Linked DNA regions of Mytilus edulis. Each later gene encodes a partner of the first gene's protein in a complex. Links are inferred from orthologs where the notes say so. Each region holds a gene or a part of one and is shown on either strand. Other genes may lie near its edges.

Region 1 (7,451 bases):
TTTATGCAAATTTGTCAATCAAGATTCACACTTTAGTTCCAACTTTTTAACATGTTTAAATTATATTACTTTTCAATATAAGAAACAACTGCTTCACAAGGTACAAACATAATTAAGATCTGTAAATATCAATAAAAATGTGTATCGTAGTATGGTTTTACTTCTGTTAAATTTAAAAACTAGGTTTTGGTAAAAAACTTAGAACTAGAGGGTCCAAGGACCCTGTGTCGCTCACCTGATATTTTTATTTACAATTGTTGCATGATAAATGCAACTGTTGTACTGTCGTTTAGTTTCAGAGATATAATACTAAAAAGTGCATTTGAAACCTATGTTTAATTTCAGCCATGTGGGCAGGCAGGGTCATCATACACAGTGGTCCCTGGATATCCTAGTGGTGATTTAAACCAAGTTTGTTTAAATTCAACAGTTGTTTCAGGGGAGAATTTTTGTAAAATTTATCTAACAAGAAATGCAAAGTAATGAGAAAGTTGTGAAGTAGTTTTGTTGTTGCGCAACCCCCCCCCACTTTGCCAAAAAAAAACAAAAAGGTAATAAAAAATTATCATATAAGGGCAATCTATCCTATTAATGATTTCTGCAAAATTCAGTTGATTGTGCAAGGGTTGTATAGCCAGCTGAGGTCTTTAAAAACTCTCTTTCTTTTGTTGTTGCAGATAGATCTTGACCTGATAAGCAATTTTACCACATGTCAGATTTGCTCTAAATGCTTTGGTTTTTGAGTGATAAGCCAAAAACTGCATTTTACCCCTATGTTCTATTTTTAGCCATGGCGGCCATCTTGATTGGTTGGCCGGGTCACCGGACACAATTTTTAAACTAGATACCCCAATGATGATTGTGGCCAAGTTTGGTTTAATTTGGTCCAGTAGTTTCAGAGGAGAAGATTTTTGTAAAAGATAACTAAGATTTACGAAAAATGGTTAAAAATTGACTATAAAGGGCAATAACTCCTAAAGGGGTCAACAGACCATTTTGGTCATGTTGACTTATTTGTAGATCTTACTTAGCTGAACATTTTTGCTGTTTACAGTTTATCTCTATCTATAATAATATTCAAGATAATAATCAAAAACAGCAAATTTTCCTTAAAATTACCAATTCAGGGGCAGCAACCTATCAACGAGTTGTCCGATTCATCTCAAAATTTCAGGGCAGATAGATCTTGACCTGATAAACAATTTTACTACACGTCAGATTTGCTCTAAATGCTTCGGTTTTTGAGTGATAAGCCAAAAACTGCATTTTACCCCTATGTTCTATTTTTAGCAATGGCGGCCATCTTGGTTGGTTGGCCGGATCACCGGACACAATTTTTAAACTAGATACCCCAATGATGATTGTGGCCAAGTTTGGTTTAATTTGGTCCAGTAGTTTCAGAGGAGAAGATTTTTGTAAAAGATAATTAAGATTTACGAAAAATGGTTAAAAATTGACTATAAAGGGCAATAACTTCTAAAGGGGTCAACAGTCCATTTTGGTCATGTTGACTTATTTGTAGATCTTACTTTGTTGAACATTTTTGTTGTTCACAGTTTATCTCTATCTATAATAATATTCAAGATAATAACCAAAAACAGCAAAATTTTCTCAAAATTACCAATTCAGGGGCAGCAACCTATCAACGGGTTGTCCGATTCATCTGAAAATTTCAGGGCAGATAGATCTTGACCTGATAAACAATTTTACCCCATGTCAGATTTGCTCTTAATGCTTTGGTTTTTGAGTTATAAGCCAAAAACTGCATTTTACCCCTATGTTCTATTTTTAGCCATGGCGGCCATCTTGGTTGGTTGGGCGGGTCACCGGACACAATTTTTAAACTAGATACTCCAATGATGATTGTGGCCAAGTTTGGTTTAATTTTGTCCAGTAGTTTCAGAGGAGAAGATTTTTGTAAAAGTTAACGACGGACGACGACGACGACGACGACGGACGACGGACGACGGACGACGGACGCCGGACGCCAAGTGATGAGAAAAGCTCACTTGGCCCTTCGGGCCAGGTGAGCTAAAAATCTACTGATTTTTTTCAGAAACAAAGCATTGCCTAACAATGTTTTTAAATGATCATACATACATACCTGAAGCTCGTGACCTTGATACAAAAGTTTTAAGAAAAAAGCTTATATTGTTATTTATGTTATAGTCAAGAATATATGTCTTTTGGTAAGCTACTTAAAAGTAAAATAACAAAAAATACTGATCTCCAAGGAAAATTCAACTCAGAAAGAACCTTAATATCAAATGGCAAAATTTAAAGCTCCAACACATCTTACTTATTTACTTTAAACATTGAATGAATGGAAACAACTGACATATTCCTAACTTCAAAATGTAGAAAATGGTTTTATAGCTAGCTAAACCTCTCACTTGTATAAAAGTTAAATAAAATTCTATAATATTGAATGAGTAAACAGACACAGATAATTTCTGCCTAATTGGGTGACCCAAACCATGCACACAGACATGAGGGTAGTCAGACCATACTTACTAATGATGTGACTGTCAAGGGAGAGCCAAAAATTCAGTCACTGAAGTTTTCTACCTGGAAATGTTATCGATGCACCAACCTCATGCCTCAGCAAACTTTATAGGTTACAAGTGAGAAACATATATTGACACAGAGATATTAAATAATGATACAAATAGTAGTAATGGGGGTACCTTCATGATAGATAATGGTAAAAATTCTTGCCAAATGAAGTTAATGGTAATTTTTAGTCCATGACAATAAAATGTACACTTTCTTTTAGCAGTCAGGGGACTTACTTAAATGAGTGATTTTCTAAATCACTGATTCAAGTAGCATTATTTCCATAAAGATTGGAATTAAGAGTTGTCTTTCTTTAATAATCACCTATTTAAGTAGTACAAAGTAATCACTAGAACAAGTGATTTAATTTATCATACCTCAATTTCATTCCCAAAAATCACTTCTTTAACTATCAATATTTTAATAACCCCCACTAATTTCAACATCCCCGAACAGTGAAATTTTTATCCGAACAGTAGAATTTTATTACATAATCTGAAAGATGAAACCTTGAACTTTAAAGGAAAAATACTCCCACTGCTGGGAAAAATCTGTCAAGAAAGTATCAGTTCATTATGTAAAGCCATTATAACAGCATTTTTTCAACTAAAATAGAATTTGCAGCTAAATGATAGCATCAAAGGCATAAACCTTTCCACTTCAAAGAAGCAAAAAATACATTTTTTTTCAATTTTACTAATGAAAAGATATTATTTAAACCTATGTGTTTGAAATTTTGGTAAAACTACAAAATTACAATTGGAGACAAAGCTTCAAATTTGCTACTCATTCAGGGGACTTAATGATATAAGTGATTTTTAAATCACTTATTCATTATTTAGTCCCCTGAATGTTTAGATGATAAAAAATCACCTGAATTTGACGAATCTCACTAATTTATTTCAAAAATAATGGTAACGATAATTATTTGAGACATCGGACGAATCACTGTAAGGACATTTTGAGGAATCACTGTAAAATTTTAACCAATTTGACATTAACAGTAGCTGAAAATGACCGTTTGACACATGACAGTAAAGTGCATTACCACCCTCAGACATAGTTCTGATCTCAGAATGTTTAATAAAAAGGATTCTTCATGCAGTTTTCCACAGAGTTCAGTTTTAAAGTAGCAAAATAAATCAGTATATTTAACAGAACTTACATACACATGTACATGTATGAGGTTAGTAATACCCCTTTACCATGAGGCGTCAAACAGTCATTTTCGACTAACGTTAGCATCAAATTGGTTAAAATTTTAGCGTGATTTGTCAAAATTTCCTTATCATGATTCGTAAGATGTCTCAAATAATAATCGTTACCCTTATTTTTGGGAAAAAAAACTTGTTTCATCAAATTCAGCTGATATGCACTAAAAATTACTGTTAACATCATTTGGCAAGAATTTTTACCTATATATGTCATGAGGGTACCCCATTACTACCCTTATGTAGGCTGTAGCACTGCATCACTTATCAGTATATTTAGTGTGTCAGTTTATTTTCCGTTTTATGAGTTTGACTGTCCCTTGGGTATTTTTCGTCCCTCCTATACAGAAACCACAAGCAGTTTATATGAGAAAAATTATATTTGTACACTTGAGTTGACCAAAATTAAAACCCGTCACTACCTTTCCACTTCCAGCCGGACCCATCACTAATTGTCCATATCGTGGCATTTCTTATTCAAGTGCAATACTAGCTGCGGAACCGTATGTTATTTTTTGACTATTTTGCGGACCTTATGGTGCAATACAAAATACAATTCAAGTGTGTGAGCTTCTACTAATCTTTTTTCGGTTATTTGTCAAACCGTTGCCGCTTGTGACACATCAAAATAATATAATTTTTAGGTGGGAATGTATCTATTTTTTACATTTTATTATTATAAAAAAAGCAGTTTGGTACCTTTATAGATTATTTTTCATGTAAAGGAAATATATTTGGATGTATTCCTTGACATTTTTTAAGTTATTTTTGTAGTTGTTTGAAGCGGCCTCTCAAGGAAGTGATTGGGGTGTAACAGAAACATTGAAAAAGGAAAATGCCAGTAAATAATTTGTCTTCATATCATATAGGATACTTTTTAATGAATTAAGTTTATATTTATTCGCATGTATTCTTTTTATCATAACATAGCATGCCATATTTCTATCATTTGAGAGTGCAGTCTACATTTTCATAATATGTCAAACGGATGAGGAAGCCTTGTCCCGAAAGAAATTAAACAAGTGATAGAGAAGCCCTGTCAACAATAGGATAGTCTAGCTCCATTTGACAATCGAATTTAGTAAAGGATAGGGCAGCCTTGTCCTTTAAACCAAAATACAATTAGGATAGTCTGGCTTCGTTTGAAATACAACAATCAAGGATAGGGAACCCCTCGTTCTTTAATTAAAAATAGAACAAAATAAAGTACTTCAAATGAAATTGGTGTAAGGAAGCCTTATGCAATTTCCTCAGCCAGGTAAAAAAAAATAGATAAGCCCTATTTTTATTATTTAAAAAGTATGGCATCAACTAGAAAAAGCAGTACAACAGGTCCCAAATCGTCACAAAAAATAAGTCAAGACGAGGAGGAGGCATGGACATGCGCTAAATGTACCAAAATCTTCAAAGAGCCAGAGGCTCAACTTATGGAATGCCAAAGGTGTAAGGAACATTTTTGCACAACCTGTCTTAAGAAAACAAAAGCGGAATACAGCATGTTATGTAAAACAGATGCAATGTGGTTTTGTGGAAAATGCAGGATAGTCATGGAACAACATGCAGTTACCGATATTGAGATAGAAAAAAGGTGCAAACATATAATGGAGAGTTATGAGAAAAGAATTACATCACTTGAAAAAACAGTTGAAAATAAATGTGACGAGGATAACTAAAGTCAAGCAGATTGTTTGTGAGGAAATAAAGAACTGCAATGAGTAAATGAGTAGTTATTGTTGCAAACTTCATTAGAAATTTGAATTGAGATTATTTTTGGCATATGGGAAAGGGGGAGGTGAAAAAAAAAATTCTTTAAACATTTTTTTGGGGGGGGGGATTAATATTCAACAGCATAGTGAATTGCTCAAAAGCAAAAAAAAAATTGAGTTCATTAGACCACGTTCATTCTCTGTCAGCTACATGTATTTAATCTTAATCCAAATTCAGAGCTGTATCCAGCTTGAATGTTGTGTCAATACTTGCCCCAACTGATCTGAGATCGAGATCTGTGATTGTATAAAGCTGTGCCCTGCGGAGTATCTGGTTACTTTGTCACTATAGTTATAGCCTTCACTGACAGTAGGGGTACCAATCGTGAGCAATAGCTTACAGTTCAAGTTCTAGTTGGGATAGCAAGGAAGATTAGATTTAGATATAGGGTGCCTGCCTTGTGAAAGTGTATATTAAAACACTGTGTTATTGTATTTTACAGGCTTATCACTCACAGTTTACAAACCCTCCTAAACTTATAGGAAATGTAGCATTGGTGCCACTAAGAACAAGTTACAAAGGACCAGCACCAAAAGACAGTATGTATTAAAACATAAGAATGTAAATTTACAAAGTAGTCATTTTACACAATATGTCAATTTTACATTTTTAAGAAGACATCATTATCAAATATGATCTTATTTAGTTTCACTACTTAGATATATGAATTCGGGGGTTGACAAAATGTTATCATTTCATCAGAACTTTAATTCTAGGCTTACTTCAGTTTACTTTATAATTATTATTTATATATCATGTATATGAATTCAACTGTATTAGTAAGTACTAAAATTCATAAATTTTATATTTTTTCTTTTAAGTTTCTGTCAATATTAGACTCTATATTTAATATAAAAGTCAGTCTTGAGTGGCAGAACCTTTTTCACATGTTTCATCAATGCAATTCTACGCATACATGACATACATGTAAACAAATCAAATCTCAATTTAAAAGTGCTTTTATATTATCAAATTATGTCATTTACATGTAACTTATCAGACTTAGACATGTAAACAAACTTTTATACTTTGTATTCATGCTATTGCCACCACATTAAGTTTTTTCAATATATTCTTGATATATCATTTATATACAGATAAAAAATCTATTGATTTGCAAATTTAGTAATTTAACATGCACTATAGAATTCAGACATAAGAAGATTTACAAAATAAACAAATTGAATGATGTTTTCATCTGTATATAAAAAAGAAGATGTGGTATGATTGCCAATGAGACAACTGTCCACAAAAGACCAAAATGCCACAGACATAAACAACTATAGGTCACCATACAGACTTCAACAATGAGCAAAGCCCATACCGCATAGTCAGCTATAAAAGGCCCTGATAAGACAATGTAAAACAATTCATCGATAAAACTAATGACCTTATTTATATAAAAAAAAGAACGAAAAACAAATATATGTAACACGTAAACAAACGACAACCACTGAATTACAGGATCCTGACTTGGGACAGGCATATACTTAAATAATGTGGCAGGGTTAAACATGTTAAGCGGGATCCCATACCTCCCCCTAACCTGGGACAGTGATATAACAGTACAACATAAGAATGAACTATAAAAATCTGTATGTTTATTTCAGGTAGTGACTCAGACATTATAGATGAAGCTATTTATTATTTCAAGGCCAATATATTTTTTAGAAATTATGAAATCAAGGTGAGAATTGCTATGTAGAAAAGATTGTTTTCTTTTAAAACTAAATAAGTGTTTTTGTTTTGTTTTTCAAAAGTAACAGTAAAAGTTTGTTCACAGTGATTGATTTTATGGATTATTTTATTTTGTTGATATGGAGGGTTGAAATATAATTTCCACCAATACAACAAGTGGTAGAACCTTTTTCTCTGATAAATCTTATCATTTCTTTTCAAAGATTTGCAGAAAGTTGT
Region 2 (8,085 bases), on another chromosome or scaffold:
GCTCTAGAATTAAGGGCTATCTTCATTTCACTAATTTCCTTGTCTATTTCTTCCATAAAATGAATTATAAAGTCTACAAGTTTATGTTTAAACATTTCTTCCGTATGTACATTCGTTACTAGAAAACTAATATCATAACCCTGAAACAAAATTAAAACATTCCAATGTTAAAAGTTAGAATTATAGAAACAAATAACTGAACTAAAAATAATAAAATTGTGTTATTAAATTTTCATTAAAATCCTCCACAATACACCTTTATGAATATACATGTACTGAGATTGGTCTTTTCTTTATGTTATTTTGATCTAATAATACAATTGTTTAAAACTAAAATGGCAATATTTAAACAATACAAAACATTAAACCTTATATATAATTAATGAACCATGAATGAAGTGCAGGGCTTAATAATATTATAAATGCAACTTGTATATGCCAAAGCTTATAAAACTTTATATATTATACTATTGACTTATTATAAATGGTTCCCTTTAAACTGACCTAATCACAATTTATCAAACTTATATATAGTTAATGCTCAGCAAAGAAAATGCACACCTTAGTCTAGCTTTTGCCAATAAAAGCTGGGCATCATTAACAAAGGTATACATGTATGTTTGTTGTGCATGTACAATATAAAAATAACAAAGAAAATTCTATTCAAGACTGTGAGGTTGTTTTTTTTAATATAGATTTTCCAAGTGAATTATGAATTTATTCCCATCTTTGTAGTTCGCTTCTAATGTTGCAACTCTAATTTTAAACACACTTTAATGCAGAGCCTAATCTTATTTTCAGAAAAAAATCCAGAACCATCTTAATTTTTCATTCTAATATAATCAGCTCTTACCTCTACAGGTTTTCTCCTAAGAATAACAAAATTTTCTGCTCTTTGCATCATAAATCTGGTGAATTTGTGACATAAGATTTTTTCTATATCATCAGCCTGTCAAAATATAAACTTCTATTTACATTTGTACATTGTTTAAAATAGTAACAGTCATCATTTCTTGAGATGTCATTTAACAAGTGTATTAGAATTTACTGTTTTGATTACTGCATCTTACCATTAGCAGTTAAATGTGTATAACCTGGGGGGAGGAGGGGGTAACCTTAAATTAGGTCGTACAGTTGTCTTCAATTGCTTACATCCACTTCATTTGAATTTTGGTCAATATTAGACTCATTGGCAATCATACCACATCTCCTTATTTCTATTTTATCTATTTAAGAAACTTTATTTGCAGACCCTATCAATAGCTTATTCCCATCCTTAATAAATATATTTGTTATTTGCTACTAAATGTTAAACAACAATCTTTCATACCATACTTTTTATTAAAATTATGATGTACATGAAGACAAGTAGCTATAATTACCTGTTTGATACCTATACTTATTCTTAGAGAATTTACTGAGCCCTCTATCAATACTTTTTCTTTTTCATTTCTACTAATCACAACTGGCGTAAGAAGAAGTTCTTTACTTGATCTGAAATTAAAATGATAGGTTCAATTAGTTTTGTTATTATCTGTCTATACATGTACACTGAATGTATAAGAATGAACAGTGTGTCAATATTACATAATTTATTTGAATGTTAATGTTTAATTTCATTCTTTGAGACTGGAAGACAGTGTGTCACTGACTGGAACTTAGAAGATACAATTTTTCTTGTCACTAAATTTTTTTGTTATCAAATCATACCATGTAAGAGGAATTCTGTTATTTACAAACTTGTAGACAAGTACAGGTTACTTTACTTACTTGACTTCTACTTCTGGTTTGTTGTGACGTTCAACAACTTGTGAGTTGAAATTCTGGACACATATGGCTGCTGTAAGAGTGTGCTTGATGGCATTCAAGTAAGGCTTCAAAGTAGCAGACTGAAAAATAATAACCATTTACTGATAAGTTTCAAAATATCAGCCAAGTAAGCAGTCATTCTTACATATTCCTATAAGAAAACAGCTTTATACTACACACCTTACCTAATATTATTTTACAAGTGTATCAGGGTTCTTAATAATGCAAGTCCAAGAGTCTAATCATTTTCAAAACTGGTCAGTTCAAAGATATATTAAAATTGTTAAATGTTGTATGAACTTAGTGCAAATATCTTAATTTTATGACTAAAGATTAAAAGTCCAAGTCTCATACACTCACTTACAAATGTAGTGAGAACACTGAACATGGTTTATAATGTATTATCTTACCTCCTATACATTCCTAGGAATGTGATTGGTTAAAAGGGTCCTCATGGAAACCGTGTATATTTGATATTAGGTTAGTAGGGAGGCGGGGCATATTTCATACATGGTTAGTAGTGGAGTTGCATCCCTTTATATTCCATATAAGGTAGTAGGGAAGCGGGGCTTATTTCATACACGGTTTGTAGTGGTGTTATGTCCCTTTGGATGGAGAGTTGTCTCATTGGCACTCACACCACATCTTATTTCTATTTCAATGTTACCAATTTGGATGTCAGAGCACTGTAGAGGGAAGTTAAACCTGCAGATAGATCTTCAGGTCAACATATGAGACCATAAAGACCAATCAAGGCCCTGAATCTGGTTAAAAGTCCAGTCTAGTTATCAGAATTTAGACAGAAATGTGTGAGGAAAGGCGAAAATCACATATTCAATGGTTATTGATTTACCATTGCAGGCATCTCCCCCTTTTCAACAGATTACGTAAGGAACAGAGAATTCCTTAGAAATGTAAAGAACATGATGAGAGGATACGAAAAATAGTTTAAGACAGACATAAATGTATCATAAAAATCGGCTTCTCTATGCTTCCGGTTAGAACATTTATCAGGAAATGAAATGATTTCCACTGTATGCCTTAGTTAACAGATTCCATTGGAAGTTGCAGACTAAATATGTGACTGTGCATTTCTTACGCGGGCATGTAATCATAAAACAGGTAACTACAAAAGGAACAGTAAGATAAAATTGCTTTAGAATCAACACCCACCATCTCGTACTGTACCAATAACAGGAAGTAATTGCAACACTTGCGCACTTCTCCGCTAAACTGGGTCACGGAGATACCAGTTATTAAATATCAAAGCACTAAAGAACTATAAGTATTGTTGACATTAAAAAAAGTGAAAAAGTACTCAGAAAATAATATTCCGATAATATAATCATGAAAAAGTGTAAATCACCCGTATACAAGCACAACTCCAATATATACTATCATGAGGTAGTGCAAGTAATAAAAGTCTCGCTAGCTCAAAATTACTAGTGAATCAAATAAAGTCTAAACCTTAAAATATTCACCATTTTATAATAATAATAATAATAATAAATTCTTTATTTAAAGAGGGTAACTCAATTAGAAATAGTCTAATTTTCATTGAGGCCCTCAAACAAAATACATGCATACAGTTAACATTCATACATTCATACATTAATTTACAATATATATTACTAGTATATACACAATTCAATCATTGAAATATACAAAGGGTAATAAATGACAATATTTGATATAGTTTTGTTAGAGGAAAACAAATTAGTTGACTTGCATATAATTTTCAAGAAAATGATTATAACTATGTTTCTTGAATAATTCCACATTAGGACATTTCTTTATTTCGAGTGGTAAATTATTCCATACTTTGGTTGCAGAATAATGAAAAGATTTTTTATAAAAATTTGTATTTGGTCTTGGAACAAAAAGATCATTATTAGAGACAGATCGTAAGTTGTGGCGTTGCACATCATCAATATTTAGTATTGCTAAGTAATCAGGTGTTAGCCCATTTACAATTTTATACATTAGAATTGATTGTTGGTATTTTATTCTTTTGGTAAAAGATAGCCATTTTAAAGAAGAAAACATGAAATTAGATGGAATAGAAATATCGCATTCCAGTATAATTCTTGCTACTCTTTTTTGAAGTTTTATGATTCTATCTGAATCTTTTTGTAATAAATTTCCCCAAACTGAACTACAATAGTCTATATATGGTAGAATATATGCATTATAAAATAGTTGCCTTGTGTGTATTGGCAAATATACTTTAATTTTATATAAAAGTGATACTTTAGATGAGATAATTTTACATATACGATCAACATGATCTTCCCAGCTTAAATTTTCATCAATGTCTATTCCAAGTAATTTGAAAGAATGGACATTCTCAATACATGTTTCGTTGACGGTAATACATAATTCTGATAGTTGTTTAAGTTTTTGTTTTGAACCCAATTTCATACACTTAGTTTTTTGTGCATTGATTTTCATACTGTTATTGTTACACCAAGATTGTATAGCATTTAAATCATTTTGCAATATGCTGTTTATTTTTTCAATGTTTTTATCATGAAAATGCAATGTTGAATCATCAGCATATAAATCCATATTGGATTGTTTAACATGAAGTGAAATTGGATTGTTTAAGATGATAGTAAATGATCTTAATTATTCTTTAAGTCGCTTTTTCAGTTTTTATCTTTTTATTATCTTATTTTCTGGTAAATTGGCTAGAATATCTTTATATTGTAATCCATTATATTTTAAAACAGGACAAATATCTTAAAATATGACACAAAATGATTTTTATATTCAATATATAATTTTAATATAATTTTTATCATACTGAGTAAAGTCATAGTTTTTTATAAATATGAAATGAAAGAGATAATTTAGATTTTAAGCATTGACTAAACTCCCTATGTAAATTACACCCATATTAGCATTTATTATCTTTATAATATTATTGTCATTGACATGCATAATAACACACATGTAAATCAAATAAGCTTATAATAATAACCAAATTAAAAGCCATATCTGTATATAATTTTAAAAGTCATAACATACTAAAAACCATCCACAAAGTGTGCTGTACATAGTTAAATATAAAGAAAAAAGAAGTTTCTATACCAAATTACCCTTATATATACTAATATTAGAGGTGTGTCTGTCTATAAAAAAGCTTATACGACGAAAAGCCGGTATTTACCTTTACTCATTCTTGGCGTGAGACATAAGCCAGTTAATTATTGATTATTTTATATTCTATCACCTGTGTATTGTAAAATAAATCAAACCATTATCACTTGTCAATTATCCGACAACTTGGTCAAATATCAACTTGTTCTCGCATACCGGACTCTTTCGATACACTCGGGCTTTTACTTATTCAATAATAAACAGTTGTAAATATCGTACAGAGTAAAACATAGTGCGGGAAAATGTTTATTAATAAAATATTCATGAATGAAACGGTCTCGCCTAGATATCTTTTGATTTTCTCTTCAAGCAATGGCTGATCCGCAAAGTAGTGTTTGTGATACTTATTTTTAAAATGAAGTTAAATTCACCTGAATTGTCGGTGAACATTCATTCCTTTTTTATTCAAGCTTTAATCTTTTCAAAAGATTTAGAGTAGCAACTCAAAATATCCAAGAATCAGATTTCGAACACTAGAACTACATTATCTTGGAGCAGAACATTGCGATAGTCTGTAGTTGAGGCCGAAGCCTATGGAAAGTTGCGATAGCAAGCTATAGCAAACTTTCCAAAAAATAAAAACTAAGCAAAATTTATCTAACTTAAAAAAAAATTAGTAATATTTATACGTTAAAATCTTATAAATTTCTCCCTTTAAATGAAAATTCATGGTTACTTATCTGCATTCCTAATCAAATTTTGCTAACTTAATTGAAAATCTGGACCTTAGTGCACTGTTATTTACAATCCAAAATGGTGAAAGACACCCATACTATAAACTTAAACTTGATTATATATTTCTGCATTTCAGGAGTAATTAAGTCATGACACCATTTAACTTAACCACCAAGATGACTTCTGAAGACTGTGGACGGTCATATAGCCCGATATAAACATGAATAGAAATTGAAGGTAGCATATGCAATTGGGTTTTTCAAGGTCTGTTTGATTCCATATTATAGATTTAAAATATGTTATTCTTCGTTTTTATCTGTGTATAAGAATGAATTTGTGTGGATAACATCAGTTTACCAAATGGCTAACCCTTGTCTAGCTGTTAATGTTGACATCATTTTCTTTTTAATAGCTGAACACGCCTAGTATATGTGGTACTCATATCTAGCTAAGGGTTAATTTCAAGATCACACTTTGTTTAAGAATCACACAAAAACCAATCTCAAATAAAATTTAACTGAATAAGTCAAAATGCTGGACTATTTTTTATCAAGAATATGTTAATTATGCCAGTCGACAGTATTCCAGTGGCATTCCATCGGCATTTAATTGAGGGACTGCAAATATAATCAAATCCTTGTCAAAGGCAAGAGGAAAAATTATCAAACAAAATCTTTAAATTTCCCTTTTAGATATCTTGATGAAGACCAATCACCTTTCAAAGTCTTGTTTTGGTGAATTATAACAGCATATATCTATTCTTATGAATTTACAATAAAGGACAATAGAGACTGTATTAAACCTACCAAGCTATGGGATGTGGATCCTCAAGTACTGAAAAACAACAAAAGCAAACTACCACTAGTGATCACCAAATCGCACTTGATAGAGTAAGTAAAATACTATCATGTAAAAATGAATTGAGATTTAAACTAACATGCAAAAGTATTCGTAAGTAACATTGCACATAATTTGTAAAAACAATGTCGTACTTAAATAGGTTAGAAAAAGAAAAAAAATATATTCTTGTTATATTAGGACCTAATGATTTGATTTGTTCTGTTTTGTCTATACTTTATTTTAATATTACCTCTTTGTTCTATATCTTTTTCTAAACTGACAATAAGCAGCTTAAAACTAAATTCAATTAATTTCTTTTTGTCAACAACCCATTTTCGAGCAGTAACATACCATCTACATGTTATCTGAATATTTGGTTTAAATTCATACTATGAATAAATTGCTTGAAGTGGGCATGGTTACAATCTTATAAATGTTACCTCTTTGTTAAATGTTGTGTGTACAACAAAGACAGGCAAAAAAAAAAGATGGTTGAAATATGGCTGACCAGCAGAGACTATGGACATTTGATGCACTTTGTGTGCAGTCTTTTACTCTAAAACTACTAATAAGTAAATTGTAATGAAGAAGGACTGAAATTCCTACTTTATAAATGCTTTATGCTTGACATCACAAATTGGTTTATCTGAACTCACTAATGGCATTTAACTCATTGATTTCTATTGTAAACTTATTTCAATATGATATTATTTTCTCATGTTCCTGTTTGTAAAACTTTAAGCCTGATGTGATTTTATTGTTATTGTGTGATAAGTGATGCATGTCTAGTAGGAGAGTATGTAAATTGTCAAAGCTCACACAGTTTTGAGTTCATGTGACTATTTTCATTTTCATATATATTTGTCTGTTTTATACAGGAATTTGTATACTATATTTTTGACCTGTTGAACAAACAACTGTATTTAATTTCAAGATCTTAATAGATTGCTTTCTACAGCTTTCCTCTTTTCTATTCCTTTGAGTATCCAACATGAACGCTTCTGTTAGAATTGGAAGAAATTCAAAAGCGAAAGTAGATAAAATATGAGCATTAAAGTAAAGATGGCTAACTTTCTGTAAAATAAAACCTTATCTTTTCACACTATTACATTTAGAAAGTAACTAATGAAATATCTAATTCAAGGAAAAACAATTTTTAAAGTACATGTATATATTTATTTTTGTAAAAAAAATAATATTTGTGATACTTGCTGTGTAAATAGACACATCAACATTTATAAAAAAAATGTGTTTTCTTTCCTATAGTTTATAGACATACTAGAATAAGATGGGTCTTTTGAAGGCAACACAGACCTCTCCTTTCAAAAATATAGTGGTAAATAAATAATAATGTAGCATGCATGGTAATCACCATTTTTTCATAAATATTTTTTAAGGATCACCAACTAAAAGGCATTCTTTCAATATTGTCAGAGTTTATAATTTGCATAGATTTTTTTATGAAATTTAAAATTTATTTTTTGTAGAAACATCTTGCTGATGGGATATAACAATTGCAATTTTAATGGTAGAAAATAGGAATTCATAATTCATCCTCCCACTGATATCCTAAATGGTGCTACATTTTTATTATAACTT

The links. Proteins that work in one complex are often made in the same cells at the same time.
Region 2: actin-related protein 2/3 complex subunit 3-like (region 1) and actin-related protein 2/3 complex subunit 4 share a complex: the UniProt entries of both Caenorhabditis elegans proteins name them as parts of the arp2/3 complex. The link is inferred for Mytilus edulis from reciprocal best matches to the Caenorhabditis elegans genes arx-5 and arx-6.

The regions. Positions count from the first base shown.
Region 1 is NC_092349.1:81,609,485-81,616,935, forward strand, and holds the start of actin-related protein 2/3 complex subunit 3-like, read left to right. Parts: upstream 1-4,367; 5' UTR 4,368-4,602; coding exon 4,603-4,608; intron 4,609-5,976; coding exon 5,977-6,073; intron 6,074-7,144; coding exon 7,145-7,221; intron 7,222-7,451. Other genes in the region: GPN-loop GTPase 3-like, read right to left, coding at 4,190-4,237. UniProt on the Caenorhabditis elegans protein: Functions as a component of the Arp2/3 complex which is involved in regulation of actin polymerization and together with an activating nucleation-promoting factor (NPF) mediates the formation of branched actin networks.
Region 2 is NC_092344.1:98,210,032-98,218,116, reverse strand, and holds the start of actin-related protein 2/3 complex subunit 4, read right to left. Parts: upstream 3,057-8,085; 5' UTR 2,986-3,056; coding exon 2,983-2,985; intron 1,890-2,982; coding exon 1,771-1,889; intron 1,495-1,770; coding exon 1,383-1,494; intron 950-1,382; coding exon 854-949; intron 141-853; coding exon 1-140. UniProt on the Caenorhabditis elegans protein: Functions as actin-binding component of the Arp2/3 complex which is involved in regulation of actin polymerization and together with an activating nucleation-promoting factor (NPF) mediates the formation of branched actin networks.